Linked DNA regions of Lytechinus pictus. The protein of the gene in region 1 interacts with the protein of each later gene in a biochemical or structural test. Links are inferred from orthologs where the notes say so. Each region holds a gene or a part of one and is shown in the gene's direction. Other genes may lie near its edges.

What was found. The genes of interacting proteins can lie anywhere in the genome.
Region 2: the proteins of AP-1 complex subunit gamma-1-like (region 1) and clathrin interactor 1-like form a complex in vitro, tested with the Homo sapiens proteins (2 studies listed by BioGRID). The link is inferred for Lytechinus pictus from reciprocal best matches to the Homo sapiens genes AP1G1 and CLINT1.

The regions. Positions count from the first base shown.
Region 1 is NC_087246.1:45,989,245-45,999,885, reverse strand, and holds the start of AP-1 complex subunit gamma-1-like, read left to right. Parts: upstream 1-5,531; 5' UTR 5,532-5,845; intron 5,846-9,755; 5' UTR 9,756-9,824; coding exon 9,825-9,854; intron 9,855-10,641. UniProt on the Homo sapiens protein: Subunit of clathrin-associated adaptor protein complex 1 that plays a role in protein sorting in the late-Golgi/trans-Golgi network (TGN) and/or endosomes.
Region 2 is NC_087256.1:25,891,212-25,901,797, forward strand, and holds the start of clathrin interactor 1-like, read left to right. Parts: upstream 1-5,734; 5' UTR 5,735-5,889; coding exon 5,890-5,933; intron 5,934-10,586. Other genes in the region: methylated-DNA--protein-cysteine methyltransferase-like, read right to left, coding at 510-655. UniProt on the Homo sapiens protein: Binds to membranes enriched in phosphatidylinositol 4,5-bisphosphate (PtdIns(4,5)P2). May have a role in transport via clathrin-coated vesicles from the trans-Golgi network to endosomes. Stimulates clathrin assembly.

The DNA.
Region 1 (10,641 bases):
TATTTAAATCATTATCCAGTTTCAGACCAGAATATCAAAAAATTTCTGCTCGCAATTTGCGCTCACAGTATTAATGTAGTAATGTTTCAAATTCCTCATCCTTTCCATGATTGACAAAACTTGAATAGAGTGTCCCATTTTTAGGTGTAAATCTCGAATTTTTCCGCTCACGCTTCGCGCTCGCATCAATTGTTTAATTATATACTTATCCTTTTCACAATTACAAGTGCTTAGAATTTATATTCTTCAGGTAGAAATGTCAAAATTATATAGTTGGATACACATCTCGTTTAGGATCACAGACATTGCCCAGAATGTTTAATTGTTAGGACAATTAAATACATGAAATAAAAAAAGCTCGCGCTTCGCGCTCGCTTTATTTAGAAAAGGCTTATGAGATTATTATATATTTATGTTGATTTATAAGAATAAAGCTTAGAAGTGACTAAAAAATAAGACAACCCTTCAAAGAAACAAACAAAAATCAACTTCGAGCTGCCGATCGGGAAAATGTGGCTGAAAAAAATCCGCCTCCCCCTATTGGTGAAGGCTGGATCCGCCCCTGCCTCCAGGAGATAGGGGTACAATATTTCCGACCCATGTTGTGGACCTTTACAGAGGCGGAGAGGTGTTAACATTTGTCTCATTTAATTTCTATACACATTTCACACCTCAGAAAAAGAAAATAATATGAGAAAAAAATGGACAAATAATTATACTGAAAACAAAAGCTATTAATTTGTAAAATAGGCCTATATGGGGTTTAATTACGAGTATTGGCAACGGAGCTTTGTCAATAGTAGGTGCCCCCGTGTACCTCTGCTCATTTCAATCCAATGCATCTTTTAAATTATTCTTATTTTATATAAATCAGATAATAGGGCCATAAAAGTAAGGGCTTGCCAGAAAATTCAATAATTATATTTTTCTTAAATTAAGTGCATGATGCTTGTTAGAATTTTCAGAAATATGGAAAAGGTTGACAGTTATGGAGTCGATAACCTTTTTATACCGATGAGAACCAAATTATTGAAAAAGCGAACTCCCTTTCCAACTTAACTGTAGGTCTATGGGTTTGACAATATATATGTATATACATATATTTTTTTAAACTGTCATAGGGATTTGTCATCCATTTCCTCGTGATGTTTTAGCGCCTCAATATATATATATTTTTCTGGTCAAGCATGTGTATGCCAGGGGTCGGGGCCACGGTACAGTTTTGAATGTGGAGGTAGGGGGATGGACTGACCACGCCCCCCAAAAAAGATACACCAGTGGCGTAGCTAAGGGGGGGGGGCCTGGGGGACACATGCCCCCCTGAGATTTGATGTGCCCCCAGGTGCCCCCCCCCCCCCCCTAAAAAAAATTGGCGGAGCAAGAAAAAGGAGAAAGAAGAAAAGAAAAAAGAAAAAGAAGAAAAGAAAAAAAGAAAAAGGAGAAAGACAGAAGGAAAAAAGAGGAAAATAAGAGGAGGAAGACGAGTGAATAAAATAATGTAAAGGAAAGACTTGCAAAAAAAAAAAAAATCTTTCATGTTACTATATAAAAATTTCGCTTGAGCTTCACGCCCGAATTGCCTGTTCGATAAGATTCACATCTTGCTCAATAGGCTGATATGGAGCTTATCAAGTTTTGAAGTCAATATACAAAACATATTTCAGCTCGGACATCGAGCTTTCATTATTTTTTATTTTTTAATTTACAAATTTAAGTGCTCTGTAAAATGTCCGTTTTATGGTCTACATAAATTATCAACACTTTAAGCTCACGCTGCGTGGTCGCATTATTTGATTGTCTTCGTGTATTCCATAAAGTTATCAAAATATCAATTTTCAGATGTGATTGTCAAACGTATGCCTATATAAGTTAACGTTGCGCGCTCGCATTTTGATTGGTGAGTAATACTCTATATTAATTCTACAGCGCGTATCAACAAAAAGTTTACACTTTGAAAAATCCCTGAAAATTAAAAAATATACAGCATGTGGGTAATTTTTTCACATATAATCTTGGGTTTGGGTCTCATCTATCCAATGAAAGTAAAAGTTTTGACCGAATGTTACACTTGAGTGAGCACTGTCCATTTTTGTAAAGCTCGCAGAAATCTGTTTGCGCAAAAATGCTAGTTTTCACGCTGTGCAAGGGGAAAGGGCCCGGGGGGCCACTTCCATTGAGGAGTGGATACCATGCGCGACCACGGGGTCTTGAAAAGCACCCTAAACACGTATTTTCCATCTTCTGAAAATGCACCCCTTAACAAGTATTGGCGTGTGAAACCCTACCCTTTACAAGTATTAGAAACAAAGACTATTGGCAATTCCCAGAACTGAGCCCCTAAACAAGTACAGCGATGTATTTTCCATATTCTGAAAATGCACCCCTTAACAAGTATTGGAAACAAAACGATACTCTTAGCAAGTATTCCCTGAAATGAACCCCTAAACAAGTACAGAGATATTTTATTGTTATGTCACGCGTCCGTCGGTCGTCGGTTTTACCTTTAGACACCTTCCACACCTCGCGCAAATCGGACTCTAAACACGTATAGTGTTGGGGCAAAAAGGACATCCTTTATAAAACATTTTGATTTTGTTTTATCATCCCTGCATATTTGACCCTAAACACGTATATTTTTCCGAGCGAAATAGATACCACTTTTTCAATATTTTTGTGTTTTTTACACCCTTATCAAGTTACGTACGTAGCGTGCCCTATCTTGAAAAAGACATCCTTTTTACGTGTTTTTTTGGTCGCGCATGGTATCCACTCGTCAATGTAAGTGCCCCCCCCCCCCGGGAGAAAGGGCCAAATCAAACTTAACCTGCAAAACATTTCTCATACATTTCCCTTGCACTTTTAGACAATTTAAATAAATCGGATACATTCAAGCATTTTGTAACAATTGTGCTAACCAAATTGAAATTTCAACACTTAGTAAGCACAACCTTTACCCTTTTTGTGCCAGCTGGATCTGAGGACATAACTGAATCTGAACAAAAGTTTATATAAGACATCTCCAGCATTTTTTCACTAAGTTTTTATAATTTAAAGTGGGTCTACATTTCATTTTTCATTTAATACTTGTTTCTACACACTTTTCCCAAGCTTGACAATGATTAACAAAATGAAAATCAAGCCTAAGCCATTTCATGTAAATCACAGCTCAGTGTAAAGCAAATATCGTCACGAATGCCTCGGTGTGTGGGGGAGTGCATGGGGTGGGGCACAATGCACTCTTCGAAGTGTTTTGGGCAAGGAAACAAGTTAAAAAGGGTAAAAGATATCCTCAAACCAATTTTACTAGCTAAATTCCATGTGTTCTTCGTGATTAAGGTCTACTTTTATTCGCATAACTATTTCAAAGTTATGCTCAATCATTTTTCACTAACTTTTCAAAAGTAGGTGCAGGTGCTCACTCAAGCGGAAATATTTTTCGACAGTTATCGTCATTTGCTTAAATGGATCTGTACCAATGTTAAAATGTGGAAAAATCTTCAAGATATTACAAATGTGTAATTTTACAGGAATTTTTCTAAGTGTAAACTTTTTTGATACGCATATAACCAAACAAGTTCCCCTTTTCATTACATTTTATTAAAAAATTCAGCTCGCGATTTGCGCTCGCATTAATTGTTAAAGATGTATCAACCATTGTAATGCGTATTCATAATTACAAAATGCTTAAAATTTCCAGTTTTAAGCCTTAAAATTAACAACTTCCTCGCTGTCATTACGCAGATTAATAAATAAAAAAATAATTTTCATGAATTCCTAATAACCAAATTGCGTCTTTTCAGAATGGAATATCGACAAGCTTAATAATAGGAAGATAGTCATCATTTTCATATGATGACAAAATGTCCTTAGAATGTACCGGTCCAAGTTTGTTAAAATAATAACAAAAAATATCAGCTCGTGCTTCGCGCTCGCATCATTCATTAAGTCTGATTCACATCTACTTCACAAAATTTCCTACAACTGTACAAAGTACTTAAAATAGTGTTTAAATTGACCTTTTTTCCAGATCGGAATATCAAATGTTTTCGGCTCGCGCTTGCATTATTGATCTAATACATAAGAAAATAATTTTCATGAATTCCTAATAACCAAATTGCGTCTTTTCAGAATGGAATATCGACAAGCTTAGGAATAATAGGAAGATAGTCACCATTTTCATATGATGACAAAATGTCCTTAGAATGTACCGGTCCAAGTTTGTTAAAATAATAACAAAAAATATCAGCTCGTGCTTCGCGCTCGCATCATTCATTAAGTCTGATCCACATCTACTTCACAAATTTCCTATATACAACTGTATATACAAAGGGCTTGAAATAGTGTTTAAATTGACCTTTTTCCAGATCGGAATATCAAATGTTTTCAGCTCGCGCTTGCATTATTGATCTTCATGATTAAACAAATGTATTCAGAATGCCCAGATTCTCGGTCAAAATCTAAAACATGCGCGATAGCCTGCATGTTTTTTTTAATTTAAAATGTGCTTAAATTAGCCAGTTTCAGATCAGAATATCAGTAATTGTCTGCTTGTGCTTCACACTCGCATTATTAATGATAACCAATTAACCATATTCATGATTTAGAAAATATGAAAAGAATATCCTGCTTTTAGGTCTAAAATCTCAAATTTCTTCTGCTCGCGCTTCGCGCTCGCATCAATTATTTAGTTACATACCTATCCCATTTATGATTACAAAAAGTGCTTAGAATGACAATTTTTAGGTCGGAATGTCAAATTTTTTTAGCTCGCGCTTCATGCTCCCATTATTGAAATATGTACCGTCTTCGTGGGTAACTGTAAACAGTCCTTTACAGCCCTTTTCGATCACTATTATTATAGAACATTTATTAAAAATTTCTGCTTGCGCTTGGCGTTCACAGTAACTATATCAAGCCATACGCTTCGTTCAAGATCATAAACATTGCCCAGAATGTTAAATTTTCAGGACAAAATACATGAAATTAAAAAAAAATCGCTCGCGCTTCGCTTCGCGCTCGCACTAAAAAAAAAAAGAATAGGGCGTATGATATTATTTCATATTTATTTCGTTTTATAAGAATAAAGCTAAGAAGTGACTCACTGACTGATCGGGGAAAATATAGGTGAAGATAATTTCGGGCCTATCCCCTATTGGCGAAAGTAGGATCTGCCCTTGTGACACATACACACAGAAAGAATGTTGCCCCCCTGAAAAAGCAAGGACCCCCAGTGCCCCCCCCCCCAGGAAAAAAAATCCTATAATACGTACGCGCCACTTTGACACACACATAAGCGCATCATCAGATCGTCACGTGTTTGTAGGCCTATGTTTATTATTGACATTATTGACAAGGACAAAAGCGGGAGGGGGGGGGGAAGGCTGTCAGCATGGTCCCTCGATCGCCCCTCGCTTCGGAAGGGGATGGGGCCTGGGGGCTCAGGGACGCCGCCCAAGATAGTTCGAGGGTATTCGCGACGCCCCAAAGTGGGAGGGTACGAGAGGGCGCGCGGAGTATCTCGCTGTGACGTCACCCCTGCCACGAATATTTTTTGTGTACGTCCGCATGAAAGAATAGTTCTCAGATTTTACTCCTTTCACTCCTTTTAAATTGAAATCGATATCAAATCTATTTTTATTTTTCTTTGTTATATTCTAGAATGGTGGGATAACATCGAAGATCATTTTCATGTAATTTTCAAATCAGCGTATGAACATCCTCTGCAGTTGGCCAGCAATTCGGTTCAATGTCGACCATATTGGCAATACACACGAGTGTAATAATGCGAGGAAAATAGGGAAATAGCGCCGGTATAAATAACAATTTTGTATTTTCTGGTGGTAGGGTAAGTAGTTTGTACTTCTATGTTTTATTCGATATGCGATTTTAAGATTGGAAATGATTTTGATAAGGTTTTCTGACTGGTGTTTGCTGAACATGGCACTAAGCGTCGAACACCGAGCAAGTGATGATGCGAATGCTGTGTGTGAATATGCGGAGACCAGCGGGTGCATAGTGAACGCCTGCTCCGATCCTCACTCGAACCCGTAGGCTCTCTACTGCGAGAGAGGAGGTTCCGTGTATATGATGAGTGGTGGTGCGGTGTTCCTGTTTTTAGTGTTGAGTTCATCAGTATCAAGAGCCAGCCTAAGGCTATGTTGTTAGATGAGATCATGTCTCTTATTTCATTAGTTTACTGTCCATATTATTATTGTTTTTCCAAATATTTTCTCCCTTATAATGGTTGTTTAAAAAACTTTAAATTATTTTCAATTTGAATAGAATTAGAAATAATGAACTGCTCTCTGCTTAACCCAGGGAGCTCCGGCCCGCGCAGCGGGCCGGAGCCCAGGGGCTTACCGTGTATTTGACCATACTCACAGGACTAGCGTGATTTATGGTCTAAATATTTCTCCAAATGAATAGTGAAAACAGAATTTATGCACTTACCGCGATGATATGGATGAAGGTCTAACGAGTGGCAGTTTCCTGACATCGAGGCACAGACTGGAACTTCAAAAAAACGAAAAGTTCTCTCCTTCTAGTTCTACCCCCGTCTCGATCGGCCATTTTGTTACGATTCATAACAAAAATGGCTGATCGAGACGGGGGTAGAAGGAGAGAACTTTTCGCATAAGCGAGACCTACACACCCGGATGGATTTCCCTAGGAAATCCGTAGTTAGAGGGTGAAATCGGTTTGTACGGGTGAATTTTATTTATCTATGAACCTTCATACGCCTAATGCATATAAGGGGATAAAAATTTTATTCACTATAAATGGCATAAATGAGAGGTTTCTTACCAGACCGATCTCGTGTAGATCCCTCGATCCGTTTGTCAACAAAGCAAATACAATAGGCCTGACCCTTGAACCGCTTCTTTATGACGTACCTTCAATTAGCGATGTTACAAAATGCCGTTTTGAAGAACAATTTATAGATAAAAATTATTATGTAGCAAGTAAAATTTAATACGTGATTATAGAAAATTATTATAATACTTCGTGTACAAATTTTTTTCGGCATTACTCCTATTTGTTTAAGATCGGTATGCTCGATCTGTAATGAAAATCATAAATCAGAAAAAGTTGGAACCAGTGGGATTCGAACCTGCCATCTACTGCTTTCCGGGCAGCGACTTAACCACCAGCCTATTCTGGTTCACGGCTAAGCCAAGATGAACTGGAAATCAAATACCCTCGATCCTCTTTAGTATTCGAATGCCGTCTGGCGTGGACAATAGATAGTAAATGAAGAGGCTTTAATAGGAGGAAATTATAATTTGTTTACAAAATTTTTTTGGCATTACTCCCATTTGTTTAAGATCGGTATGCTCGATCTGTAATGAAAATCATAAGTCAGAAAAATAAGGTTCGAATCCCACTGGTTCCAATTTTTTCTGACTTATGATTTTCATTACAGGTCGAGCATACCGAACTTAATGACGTAGTGGCATAACGTGGGTAGACTATGAAATGCAAAAGCACCTCAAAATTTGAAAATCATAATCTTACATTGTCAATCATATAAGTTATAATTACATTGCAAAACAAGTGGGAAAGATCAGTAATTGTAATATCCAGAAGCTATAAAACTGTTGGTAAAACGCCACAAAACCATTCATTTTGAAGAAGTAAAATGGATTGAATCTATAAAGATACTGCCACGTCAGGCCATCCATAATTGGACTTGTATCCTTTGTTTTCAGACTCTTATCAACATTTTGATAATTTTTTATTACATATACATGCATAGAATTAGTCAAGTATGTTTCGGTATCTAAAGATTTAGACAATTGATGCTACTTACACTATATTTTGATGTTAGGAATCATAAAAAGGCATATAATTATTTTCATTTTACAAAGGAACCTTTATGATTAACTTTTGTAAACTATCAGAATTTGATATCCCGGGGGTACCCATCTCAACGTCCACATGTGTTTTTAAGTCATAAAATGAATTGGTGTGTGCAGGATAGGAAATAATTTTGATTTTTTAGGGGCTATTTTTCTATATTTTTTTCATTTGAAGGGCTACTTTTTAGGGGTAAAAAGTATGTGTGCAATAAATGCAAATATTCTTCTGCCACAGTTAGAATATTGATTTTCTAAATCTTGAATTGTTTGGAACAGATCATGGGACAACACTAGAAAGAATGGTTGCCCCAATGCATGCATTTTGAGGGAATTTTAGGCCGTGATTTTGGCTGTCATCGGGGCGAAATCGCCCGTCGCGCTCATGTATACGCTGGGTGTGTGTTGTGGTGATTGACTGTCCTGGCTCGTGAAATGAATTTGCCATGTCGAATGGCGGCACATGTTGAATTCTGGGCGCGTTACTCAAGACCCTAGTTGTGAACAAGCTAGGTCTGGAAATCGCATAATGCAAGCAAGACTTCGACTTTTAAACTTTGGCAGAAAACTGATTTGGATAATCTGAAGGCATTACAAGGATGTCATTTCAAAAGTAAATGACTAAATGATAAAGGTAGCTGTGCTAAAGCCGGTGTAATGATAATATTATCATGTTAAGCAGGGCTGGCTGGTAGAACAGTTTTCAGAACTGAAGTGGCTACCCTGGGTAAAATATGACATTATTATTTTTATTATTATTAAATTGAAGTTATATTATAACAGTTGTACATAGGTATCATCACTTAAAAATGAAGCATCTTCATGTATGATCCAACCTTTGAGTTATTGCTCATTAGGTGTTGAGTTGTCAATGTGATTTGGATAATTTTTGTAAACTCACATTAGCAGGGCATGAATGAATTTAAGGCCACCAACACCAAGGCCTTAGAACAGTATCTACATCGGTGGGCCTCAATTCCCCTTTCAATAGTCTTGGATATTTTTGGGTCGGAGCCAGAAGTTGGGAACCAAAACCTGAAATTTCAAAGTGAATTTGACTTTGATCTTCCCTTTCATTGAAAAGCTCAAAATTTGTACTATGAATATTAGTGCTGTTATCGGTAAGAAAATTCTCTGTCGATAAGAATCGACAAACACGTTGATGTGAGCTGTAAATTGAATGCGAGTGAGTGTGTGGCTAAACTTGTGTCCTGAGGGAAATTTAAGCTGATCTTTTTTACTGTTTCACTAGGTAATTATGTACTTAGTGGTTGCTTGTGAGTGAGCGCTATGGCTTCTTGCACAAGTACAGAAATTTAGGGGCGGGTATGAAAGTGGAATTATAGTGATTAAAAGTTGTGTAGCGTATGAGAACTTAGAATCAATGTGAGGCTGTGAGCTTGTTCACTTGTTTACAACTCCCACGCAAGTTTTATGCAGATGCTACCGTGTACACGGTCATGGGATTCAGTACACATGCACTGACTTGACCGTGCGTGTACACTTGTACTCGAAACGGGCCTACAATCAATCCTATCGTATTCCTTGAGGTTATCTGCGAAACATCAGTTCAAATTTCAAGTTTTTTGTAAAAAAATAATAGTTTGGAGCACTCCGACACATATTTCATAAATTTTCAGATAGTTATATTGGACATTATAAGCTGGGAGGCTGGGACCCCATAGGGTATTAATTTAGGAGTACACTGACACTACTAAACCATTAAAACTAATTTCTTACAATTTCTGGCAAATATTAAAGTAAAGTTATACCTTATTTCCGTCCTGTCGGATAAAGTGGGATTTTGGACCGTGACGGAACGGAATCCTGAACCATACTGTATGCTATTGTACATTGTAAGTAATATGTAATGTGTGATTATTGTTATTGTTCTTGTAGGATAGGGAGACTTCAGGACAGACTTTCAAGAGAAGAGTTGGAGATCAACTAATCGTATAATTTATCAGGATGTCTGTTCTGCAAGCCATTGAAGAGAAGGTTAGTATCGTGTCAATAGCCATTATAGTTTTCAAGGAGATTGGATTCACCTGGAGGGTGTGTATAAAGAGACAAACTGCAAAACAAGAAACACTCTCGTAGGGGACCCAGCCCCGATGATAAAGAAACACTGGCAAATTCCGAAAGTGATCTTTAACATAAACTGAATTTACAGATGGTAACATTTGTTTTATGTTATGAATACATTAAAGGACAAGTCCAATTCAACAAAAAGTTGATTTAAAGGGATACTCCAGGCTGAAAGTATTTATATTTAAATAAATCGAGTAAAATTCACAGTGCAAAATGCTGAAAATTTCGTCAAAATTGGATAACAAATAGCAAAGTTATTGAACTTTAATGTTTAGCAATACATTGTTAAAACAGTTATATACATGTCGTCATGAATATTCATTGGGTGGGCTGTTGATGCCACATCCCCACTTTCCCTTTTTTCATACATGTGTGAATAATATGTCTCCCTTGTAATGAAATAAGTCACAGCAATGATATAATGCACTAAATCAATTGTCATTCCAATTTTTCAGTTCTTGAAAGTAAAAATTTGAAAGTAATTCCATATAATAAGATACAAAAGAACAAGTGGATATATGACATCATCAGTTTGCTCATTGAATATTCATGAAGACATGCCGAGAACTGTTTCACCTGAATAATGCAAATCTTTAAAATGCCATAACTTTGTTATTCCTTGTCCGATTTTGATCAACTTTTCAGTGTTTTGTTCATCTGATTTTTCCTTATCTGTTCAAATCATATTACTTTC
Region 2 (10,586 bases), on another chromosome or scaffold:
AGGTACACTACAGTTAAACTGTGATGATGCTTTTATTATTTCATGAAAATGAGTCTACTCTGACAACCGATTCATCAAATGAATATGCACACGTTTCAAACTACTGTACAATGTCTTATAATAATCAAGTACCAAGTTACAGATCCTTCTGTTCATGAGAAAGGATTATTAATATTATCAAACAAATCTAAAAAAGTCTGAGATACAAACTATGCCTAGAACACAAAATACAAGATACGAAGCATACAATCAAGCCAAATATTTTATTTTTTAATTGGGGGGGGGGGGGGGTCAGCTTGATAAGGCCCCTGTTGCTGCCCTGTTGATTCAGAAGTGATCATTTATTAATTTTACTCTTTAGCACATTAACTTGCAGCTTTTTTCACAACTCTTCCGCTGAAATCACATTCAAAGAGAAAACATAGTATGATTTGGCATGCAAATTCAAAAGCACACCAATAGCAAAGCCCCCCCCCCCCCGCTCCCACAATTTGTAATACCGTACTCACTTTGTGCTCTGTTTTGGCAATGTCTTTGCAGCTGTCAAACTAATCTTGTGCACACCGACATCACATCCGGTCACTGTCACATGACCAATTGGTGTTGACAGGACAACTGTTGCCATGTCACAGGCTACTTTCTTAAGGGAAGGCATGCTGTAAAAATGTAAAAAAATAATAAAGAAAAAGAAAAGAAAGTTGAAAACAATTAAAAATGATTATTTAAAGGACAAGTCCACCCCAACAAAGAGTTGATTTGAATAAAAAGAGAAAAATCCAACAAGCATAACACTGAAAATTTCATGAAAATCGGATGTAAAATAAGAAAGTTATGATATTTAAAATTTTCGCTTGATTTCACAAAACAGTTACCGGTATATGCACATCCTGGTTGGTATGCAATTGAGGAGACTGATGACGTCATCCACTCACTATTTCTTTTGTATTTTATTATACGAAATATGAAATATTCTAATTTTCTCCTCATTGTCAAGTGATACAGCGATTAATTCCTCCCTGAACATGTGGAATTAGCATTGTTTAATACTATATGTTTCAGTCAAGTTGGTCCTTATTGTCAAAGCTTAAAAAAATTGAAATATTGTATAATTCAAACAATAAAAAACAAAAGAAATAGTGAGTGATGGACATCAACTGACTCACCTAGTTGTGCATATCACTGTTTTGTGAAAAATAAGTGAAACTTAAAAATGTCATAACTTTCTTATTTTACATCCGATTTTGATGAAATTTTCAGCACTATGCTAGTTTGATTTTTCTATTTTCCTGAGTGGACTTGACCTTTAATAATCCAACCATGCATAACTTGTCTACTGTCAAAGATACATTTAATTGGATGATGCCTGATCTGACGACGCTGATGGTATATTGAAATATTCTTGATCTACATCATTATTTGAATGGATAAAATCACTGCCACTGGCCTTTAGGCTTTAGTCATTTGTCTTAGAAATATTAATTATTCAGGCAGTGTGGACATTAGGTCTACATGTATTTCTGTCAGATCAGGGATTTGCTCCGCTGAGACTTCGTCTGGCTCTGCGGCATCCCCTCCGTCAATAGGACTAGGAGGGAAAAAAATCAGAAAATGTTGAAAAACTCCTCCGAAACAGCGGAATTATCAGTCTATGTGGACATGAATTATGAATGATGGGATGTGAAACGCATGCAGGAAAATGTGTCGTGATATAATAATATCCATTCAAGTCAGATTTATTCCTCAAGCAATTGCATGTTTGTAATATATTCCCATCTTGTGCGAAACAAACCAGTGTTACAGGCTATTGAGTATTGGTTAGTAACGAAACAGTGCATAAACTAACTTGTTAAATTATGCCTAATTGAGTTTGAGTGGGCCTGGGGTCGGGTATACGGCCACGGGTCGGAATTAAGCGGTGGGCAGCCCGGGGGCGCGGGGGGTCAGCGATCGCGCCTGTTCGTACTGTCTGTGGCGTGTGAAAAAAATGAGCTAGTTTGACTTAAAGTTTGACTCGATTTACCTTGTCTGTTTACTCGAGATCGGGTAGCGACTTCAGTTATTAGTTATCAATGAATGAACAACAAGCTGTTGAATCGACTGCGGATTTTAAGCCTTGCAAAAATTAATCAGAGTCACGTTGGGTCTGATACCGATACATACGCCATCACTGGCACTGCATCATCATGCATGCTGGCTTGTTTTGTTTATTAAATATTTTAGTCTTGTGTCCATAAATCTAGGTATTCAACATTCATACTTTTTCTCTAACAAATGCATAGATAATATCGAGTAATTATTGGTGTGATAAATAAATTTCAATTTATCATCTTTTTCCATGCATCAGTATATTTTACTCTGATTTGATCAAAGAGATTTATAGATTATTTTAAATATATCAAATGGACTTCGATCAAACTAACCATTCCTATGTCGGCCTATCAAAAATAAAAACAACATACAGCTATGGAGAGCAAATAGGGACAAATATTTTTTTGCTGTGTGTAATAGAGGAGGGGTATATAATAAATAGTGATAAAACATAAATGACGATTTAATATGGTTTTATGCACAGGTTTCTTATTGTTTGCCCTCCAACATGTCTTGCTCATGGGAACTCTCTATATATTGTATAAGCCGAATGTCGGACTTTTTTTTCTATGGGCGTGTTTTTTTAGAGGTATACACATGGGTGTCGATCCCGTGTCGATTGACAATCGTGGTTGGCGGAGATGACTTACACAAATATTGTTCTTTTCATCAGTGGGAAGGTTTTTTAAAGGTTTTATAGGGGGTTCAGTGATGTAATGAGCAAAACAAATGATATGGGGGGAGGCAGGCCTGTCGGGCAAAATGCATTTTAAAAATTGGTAAATGGCCAGCTAGGGCACAAGGGGGGCACAAGTAGGCCTACCACATGCGCTTGTTTGCAGGGAGGGGAGCCCGGGGGGGGGGGGCATGCACTCGACCAAAAAAGTGGTAGGGGTGTGCCGCGGGCGAGGCAAAAAACGGGGGCCTTGGAGCGGGCTTATTTTAAAAAGGAGGGTCCTCGGAACAGGCTTCGGAACTACAAATGTTTGTGAAAACGGGGGTCCTCGGAACGGATCTCCGTATCTCTGTGAGTGCGTATGCATCCATATGGAACGGGCAATCGTGCATAACGCAGCTAGCGCGGCCTCCGCCGGGTGCGCTCGCGCTTAGCCGATGCTGGTCGAAAAGCGCTCTACGGCCGCTTTTCACCAAAATTGTAGCGGATCAATGCGACCGGAACGGCGTAACGAAAAATATGCGAAGCTTTGGAGCGGCTTTCTTTGTTCTTTTTCTCAATAAGACAAAAATGCTATGCCTTGGAACGGAAATTTGAGTGTAAAAATGGGGGTCCCCTCCGCGGCACATACCCACTATGCATTATATACTGAGTGCCCCCCCCCCCGGGGAGGGTAGATCGAGATGATTAAAACGTCAACATTATAGCATTTCATTCTCGTTCATCGTGGATTTTTTTTCCCCTTCCATCTGTTTATAACAGTTTTCGAAAGGAACGGTTTCACTAAAAAAAAAAAAAAAAACATATAGATAAATTACCAGAAAAAATGAGGTGCCATGCGTATTGATCTGCACTATACCACCATCATGATCATTACAGGGCCCTCCTTATACTGGTCATAATTTTGATTCATCATAATGCTCTGCCCGTAAATTGTCGGGGGATGGATACAGCCGGGCCTCCCCACCCGAACTTTGGTGCACTGGCGGATCCAGGGGGGGGGGGGGGGCAAAGCCGACCCGCCCCTCCCCCTTTGAGAGGCACAATTAAAATTTGTAGTCTAAACATGCTGTTAAAACAGAAGTATGCCCCCCCCCCCCTTTAAAAGTGAAGACCTATTTTTTTTCTTTTTTTTGCTTGTCAAATCTTTTTGTGGACGAAATGTATATTTTTTGTTGAAAATCATTTTTTTGTGTTTGTCAAATTATTCCTGGGGAAAATGTGCCCCCCCCCCCCGTTTGGAAAATTCTGGATCCGCCCCTGCTTTGGGGAATGGCCCGCCACCAGCCCCGAGGATCGAATCCCATGCACCGGCCTGTCTACAAAAGAACCGGGCTAATATATTTCTAATATGATTCTGTTGAGGGCAATGTATAAGGTCAGTCAAGAGAATTCCAGCGACTCCCTCAGCTATCGATCAGCCCCCAGACCAACTTTCATGATGCGTTAGAAAAGGCAGTCCTGGTAAATGCCATTTAAAAATTGCTCAGATGGTTTCATATTTGCCCCATGAAATCCCGGACCCGTCTAAAAATCTAGTTCACGGAACCTTTCCCTTGGGGAGCGGGTGAGGGGGGGGGGGTTCCTGCATATAGCATTTTCTTCTATACAGTATAGGAGTACATTGACACACCTCTTGAACTTTTCAATTTTTCTCCTCTTTTCAAGCTCCCTCTTTTTTGAAAAATCTTAAAGGGGTGGGGTCGGGTGGTCTCCCCTGCTCCCTCCACCTGCGGAAGCACCAGCATCAATTCTTATCTATATAAATGAAATATAATGCCAAATATATTTCTAGGCATGATTGTCCATTGCAGACGAGTTGTGATTCGCACTGGAGCAGGGCTCTTTTTTCAAAGGTTTTTTTTTTTGGGGGGGGGTGGGGGGCAGTTGCGATTGGCAGGGGCAGGGCTCGATTTTCTTCAAAGGGTGACTTTTGATTTTTTTTGGGGGAAAGGGTGGGTGGCTCTTCGACAGTATCCTGCATGCCCCCCCCCCCCCCATCGATCATGAGTAATAATTGTAACTTCATGGCCCGCCATCCATTGACCGAGGTAGATAAGATTGAAAGAAACTTTCTTTTGATTAATTATTTCCTTTTTTATTTTTACGGCGACGAAACGGTTTATTTCCATTTTTTTATTTATTTATTCGTTTCTGCATGTCATGACAATGTACCGACAGTGTGACCATCACAAAATGTTAATACATTAAATTTTACATTAAAAATATAATATGAAGTATAATTATGATCATTTACATTAACTGATTATATGAAAGTGGCAATGCAGACATGCAGTGGTATGACAATACAAGCAGATGCTTGAGCCGTTGTCACACATTTGGAAATATAAAATACATGCATGTATATTTAAAAAAATACTAAGAAAGTCAAACGAACTAACTAATGATACACACAGATAAAAACCAAACAAACAAATTATGTTTCACAACTATAAATACAAATATTTAGTGTGAGGCGTAATAATTTACTTTAAATTATATCAATACAACAAAATATTTGTCTAGCGAGAGAGTTACATCTTAAAGACAAGTATGTGTTTAACTGCACTTTAATGGCAATTCGGCTATAATAGACCACCTCGTCTACTATCATGTGGTCTATCATCATTTCGTCTGATAACCAGTTGATCAAATAGCCATTTAGTCCATACCATTTAGACTGAGTGTTAATTGGGCAAAATTAATGAAAATAATATGGATATTAGACCAAATGAGACGAAATGGTGATTAGACGAAGCCTGATTATTGGACCAAATTTATTTGACCAAACGGTTGTTAGACGAAATGTTGATGGACAGAATGGCGTTAGACTCAATGAAGGTATATACACCGAATTGGCAATACCGATGAAACTTACAGATCGAACCGCTCTCCTGATAAATGGCTAAATAGCATTTTGTTTTGTGGAACTTCGGGCTGCCCATATTCATTGAATGAGGTCACGGATTTGATGACGTCGGCACACCGGCAAATCCATTTCAAGTGTACACAGCAGACGCCCACCACCAAATCACGGATTCGTAATCCTTGATCATCTAATTGAATTTTGTGTATTTCGTATCACTTTTTCTTCAAAAATACTAGATTTTGCATAAGCCACCATCATGCAGTCGGCTATGTGGAAGATCCGTGAATTAACGGACAAAGTGTAAGTTACTACTCTTTTTATCCATACGCTAGAATGGTAATCGGTGATGACGTTCGTTGCCATCGCTATCGTATCTCTGTATGCTATTCCGCCGGTACAAACGCCGTGCTATAATTTTAAATGCTGTGTGCTTGCTGCGGCGCGGCGGTGGCTACGCCCGCCCACATTCATTCAGTCTGTCTGCTGCTCAAACTTAAAGTAAATAATCAAATCAAATGAACCAACAACAAATTCATTATGTAAGACAGGTATAGACATGAGTTATGATAATTATATTTATATTAGAATGAACGGCAGTGACGTGAAAATGCGCCGAGCTGAGCTGAGATGACATTTGTCAATTTAGACTTTAGTTTAGTTGTTATAGTTAGGCCTAGTGACTAGTGACAATAGTGTAACTGTAAGTTACGTTACACTCAGTCATTTATTTTAATTGAAAAAAATAATGACTGTCATTGTCAATTTAACAAAGTTACAATACTAAGTTATACATGCAAATGTCCATCATTCTCAGCCTGCCGCATTTGCCAATGCAATGGCAAAAAAAAAGTTTCATGAATTAATTTGACAAGGAAATTAGAAAATAGTCGTGTTACTTGTTACTGTTAGATCTATCGTTCATTGTCGTTTATAGACCTAAAAAGTTAACTGTTTTAGTGTTTGATCTCCAACTTAGTAGTATGATGGTGGGCCCTAAGTCTGCACCTAACAATTTGAGTTAAGATTTAACATGGATTTCTTCTTATTTCACAAAATCTTTTGGATAATAATGTTCCTTATATTATTGAGAGTAAGTATACCAAATTTCTCATTAAAAAATGAAAGAAAATATAGGATTTTCTTGAAAAAACCTTGGACAGTCATTTTCAGATTGAAAAAAAAAATGGTACCCCATGTCTGCGCACTCATTCACTTTGCACACGATTCAGAGATTTTGATTAGAAAGGCTGTATTTTGAGGCCGTCACATGAAATGCCCTGAATTCATTATTTTTTCACCATTTTGAGTCGGATTTTTTTAAGAATACCTGTCTATGTATTGCATGTGTAAAGTTCGTGCTCGTTGCGTATCTTCTTTTACTAGAATCGCGCAGATACGCGGGTGCGCAGACTTGGGAGACCGCGCAGACATGGGGGAACTGACCATACAGTTACTGAGTTTGAAATGTTTTTGAAAGGTGAATTTAATGTTTATTATTAAATGTTAGAATTAGCTTAACTCTGATTCTGAGTGACGTTGCAGTTGCAGAATAATAATCTACTGTACCAAAATGTTTCTAACGTTAATCGTTAGGCCTAGATTCTACCTAAATAGTTGTATTCAAATGGCCGTTAAAAATTCCTATTTCGACAACTCAACAGACTCAGTTTTAAAGGAGAATGAAACTCTTGGAGCAAGTTAGCTTTTGTGAAAGCAGAAAAATCAAAGAATAAGATCAACAAAACTTTGAGTAAAATAGGACTAGCAATAAAAGAGTTATGAGCATTTGAATGTCGAGATCACTAATGCTATGGAGATCCTCCCATTGGCAATGCGACCAAGATCTGTGATGTCACACACGTACAACTCTCCCATTTGGACACTGAAAATATACCCCAAAACATCTCTTTTTGCTCATTCTAATCATATGACAAACGATTCATCAATGATATAATGTTGTGAAACCTCTGTACTTGTCATCTCATAAAGAGAACACCTCACCTTGTGATAGACTCTATAAAAGTGAGAATATAAGTTAAATAAGTACTAAAGTAATGAGGGAGTTGTACGTGTGTGATATCACAGATCTTGGTCGCATTGCCGATGGGAGGATCTACATGGCACTAGTGATCTCAATATTCAAATGCTCATAACTTTCTTATTATTCATTCAATCTTCCTCAAACTTTCAACAATATGTTTCTTTGATTTTTCTCTTTGATATGGATTCAGCTGGTTTCAAGGGTTTCATTCTCCTTTAAGGGGAGTGAGAGTGATCACTCGCCTTTTCAGGTAGAGCAATTTATCACTCGCCTCAGCAAAATTGATTTTTTGTGATATGAAATGATTAATGCATTTATGCAGAAAAATTAGAAAACAGGCAACATCATCTTACGCATTGAATTGCTTGTAGACTCTACATTTTATTACGTATTAGGTAATCTCTGTTCTGACATATGAATGTTAGAACAAGAGTGTCGGTCAATGATTGAACTGTAGTGTAGGCCTAGTGTTGGAGCCAATCTTGAAAACCTCATTCTCAGTCAAATTAAGAAGACACGAAAAAGCATTAACACACATTGCAAGAATGACAAGAAAAAGTTAATTGAGATAAATGTTGCCTATACAACTGATTGTTTGTCTCCTTAGTTGTGGTTTGTATCTTAAGTAGGTACAATCATGAACGCTAGAGGGCGCTGCGCGTAAACGGCGCTTTTTTTGCATGGACCGTTTTGCCGCCGATAAGCTGCTATCGTTGAGATTGCCGAGTGTATTGGCAAATGTAAGGGTGGATGAATCTACTCTTATTTTTAAAGTGATTTGCCCAATAGGTATGATGTGTATGAAAATTTCATCATGGATACTTACGTCATCGTCAACGAACAATGGGAGAGCTTCAACGAATAGTTTTGACTGTCAAATTGGTCTGGAATATCACTGGTAAGTACAATTTTCCGTTGAATTTTCGTATTTTTCGACGATATTATGTGAAATACGATATATATCCATCAAGATAGAAGTGAAAATGTGGTATTTTCTGAAAGCTGAATTCATTCTGGACTTGATTTTTCTTTCCACTTTGTCGCATGACATAGCGGTTTTAAGATATTGAGGTTGGAACAGGGGCTTCCCCTGGCGTCCCGGGGTGGATTTTGAGGAAATTCACGAGTTCGAGATTGCGTGTGAGCCGGGTGGCTATGCGTACGCCTATGGGCTACACACGTAATAAAGTTAGCCTAGCCAAACGAAACGGAAGGATAATTATTTTCAAAGGTTTTAGTGATTCGATGGATTTATTTAATAGGAAATTTCATTGTTTGACCATAATGATTATATTAATAATATTGATAAATGGAAGTTGGACTTACCTTAATTAAGTTTATTGTCAATGTCAGACTTCACTTGGAGTTGGACTAGCGAATCTGGGGAGTCATTCTGACTTTTGAAGTTTGAATCATCGACATCGCTTTTGGCTGTGCTGGGGCTTAATGTCATTGCACTTCATAATCTTTTTCTCTTCAAATTGGCAATACAATATTAATAATAATGAAAAAGAGACCTTTAAAAAAAAATCTGTAGGTGTTGCCAACACAGCAATATAGGCCTAAATGTTTTTTTTTTCAATTTAGGGGCCCAGGGGTATGTTATGTGCAGACAAAGTTTGTTTTTGTTATTCATGAAATTGGCAACATATAGGCCTCAGTTACCTTGATTCAGCCCAGCCATTGAATCTGTGTTATTGTTAAAAATAAATTAAATATTGCTCAATATAGGTTTGAACTGGAAGTGCATCTCTTTACAATGACTTTTTCATATTTATGTTTTATTTTTTTAGATGAAGCTTGAGCACCGATCCTACCAATGGCATCATACCAAACTATTAGAACAGCTGATCGATGATGTTTCGTGTACATTTTCCTGGCTACTTGGCAGTACTTGCTTTTACCATCCTTGTCAATATCCATCCTGGCCTATGACCTGGTCTACACTACACTCTACACTCAAGTGCAGTCTTTGCTGCAAAGTTGTTTTAAAATTCCAAGAAAGAAATAAAATTGATTTACTCTCAAGATAATTGGTGATGGAGATGAAAGAGAAAGAAAATGAGATCATGTTTGATGCACTTGTGGGTGGATGTGGTTTTTAATGGACCTCTATATTATATATTTTTATGATGCATGTATGTGTGAGGGTGGAGTGAAATGGGATGAGAGGTTAGACATTTCTTTTTACTCTTTGTCATTGCCTTTAAAAGGAAAATACAATTTGTTTGTTTTACGTAACAATCTCACAGGAATTTTACAACTTGTTTTATTATCATTATTAAAAAAATTTCTTTAAGTATATTGACCAAATGGAGGACTGAAAATGCCAATTTACAATCTCATTACAAAGTAAAATAGTGTTGGATAACAGAAGGAAAAATGATGGAATAAGAGAGATTGCAGAAGAGCTGAAAAGTACCCATTGTAGAATGAGAAAGTAGAGATTGAGGGGGGGGGTGTATTAAAAAAAATATATATATTATAAATCCCAAAGTAAATATTCTATACAATTCATGTATTGGTATATTTCATACAAATGTAGAGAAAGGAAAATATGATATTTTAGCAAGTCAATTTGATATAGAACAATTAAAATGTAATTTAGAGGCATGGAGGTCCCCCCCCCATTGTTTCTTAACAAAAGGGTATTATTGTTGATTTGTGGGATCTTTCTATTTTGTACTTAAATAATAGTACTTAGGCCAGAAATATCCTTCAACTGTCTCCTACATCTTTGATGGTAGTCCATTAAATGTGTGTTTCTGACAGAATTGAGTTACTTCAATCCAAACCCTTGATGAAAGAAGGCATCCTTGAATGTTGAAATCATGATTCTTTGCCCATTTTTTTGCATGAATTAAATATACTATTTCATAAATCCATTTAAATGTAGATACTAAAACTTGGGC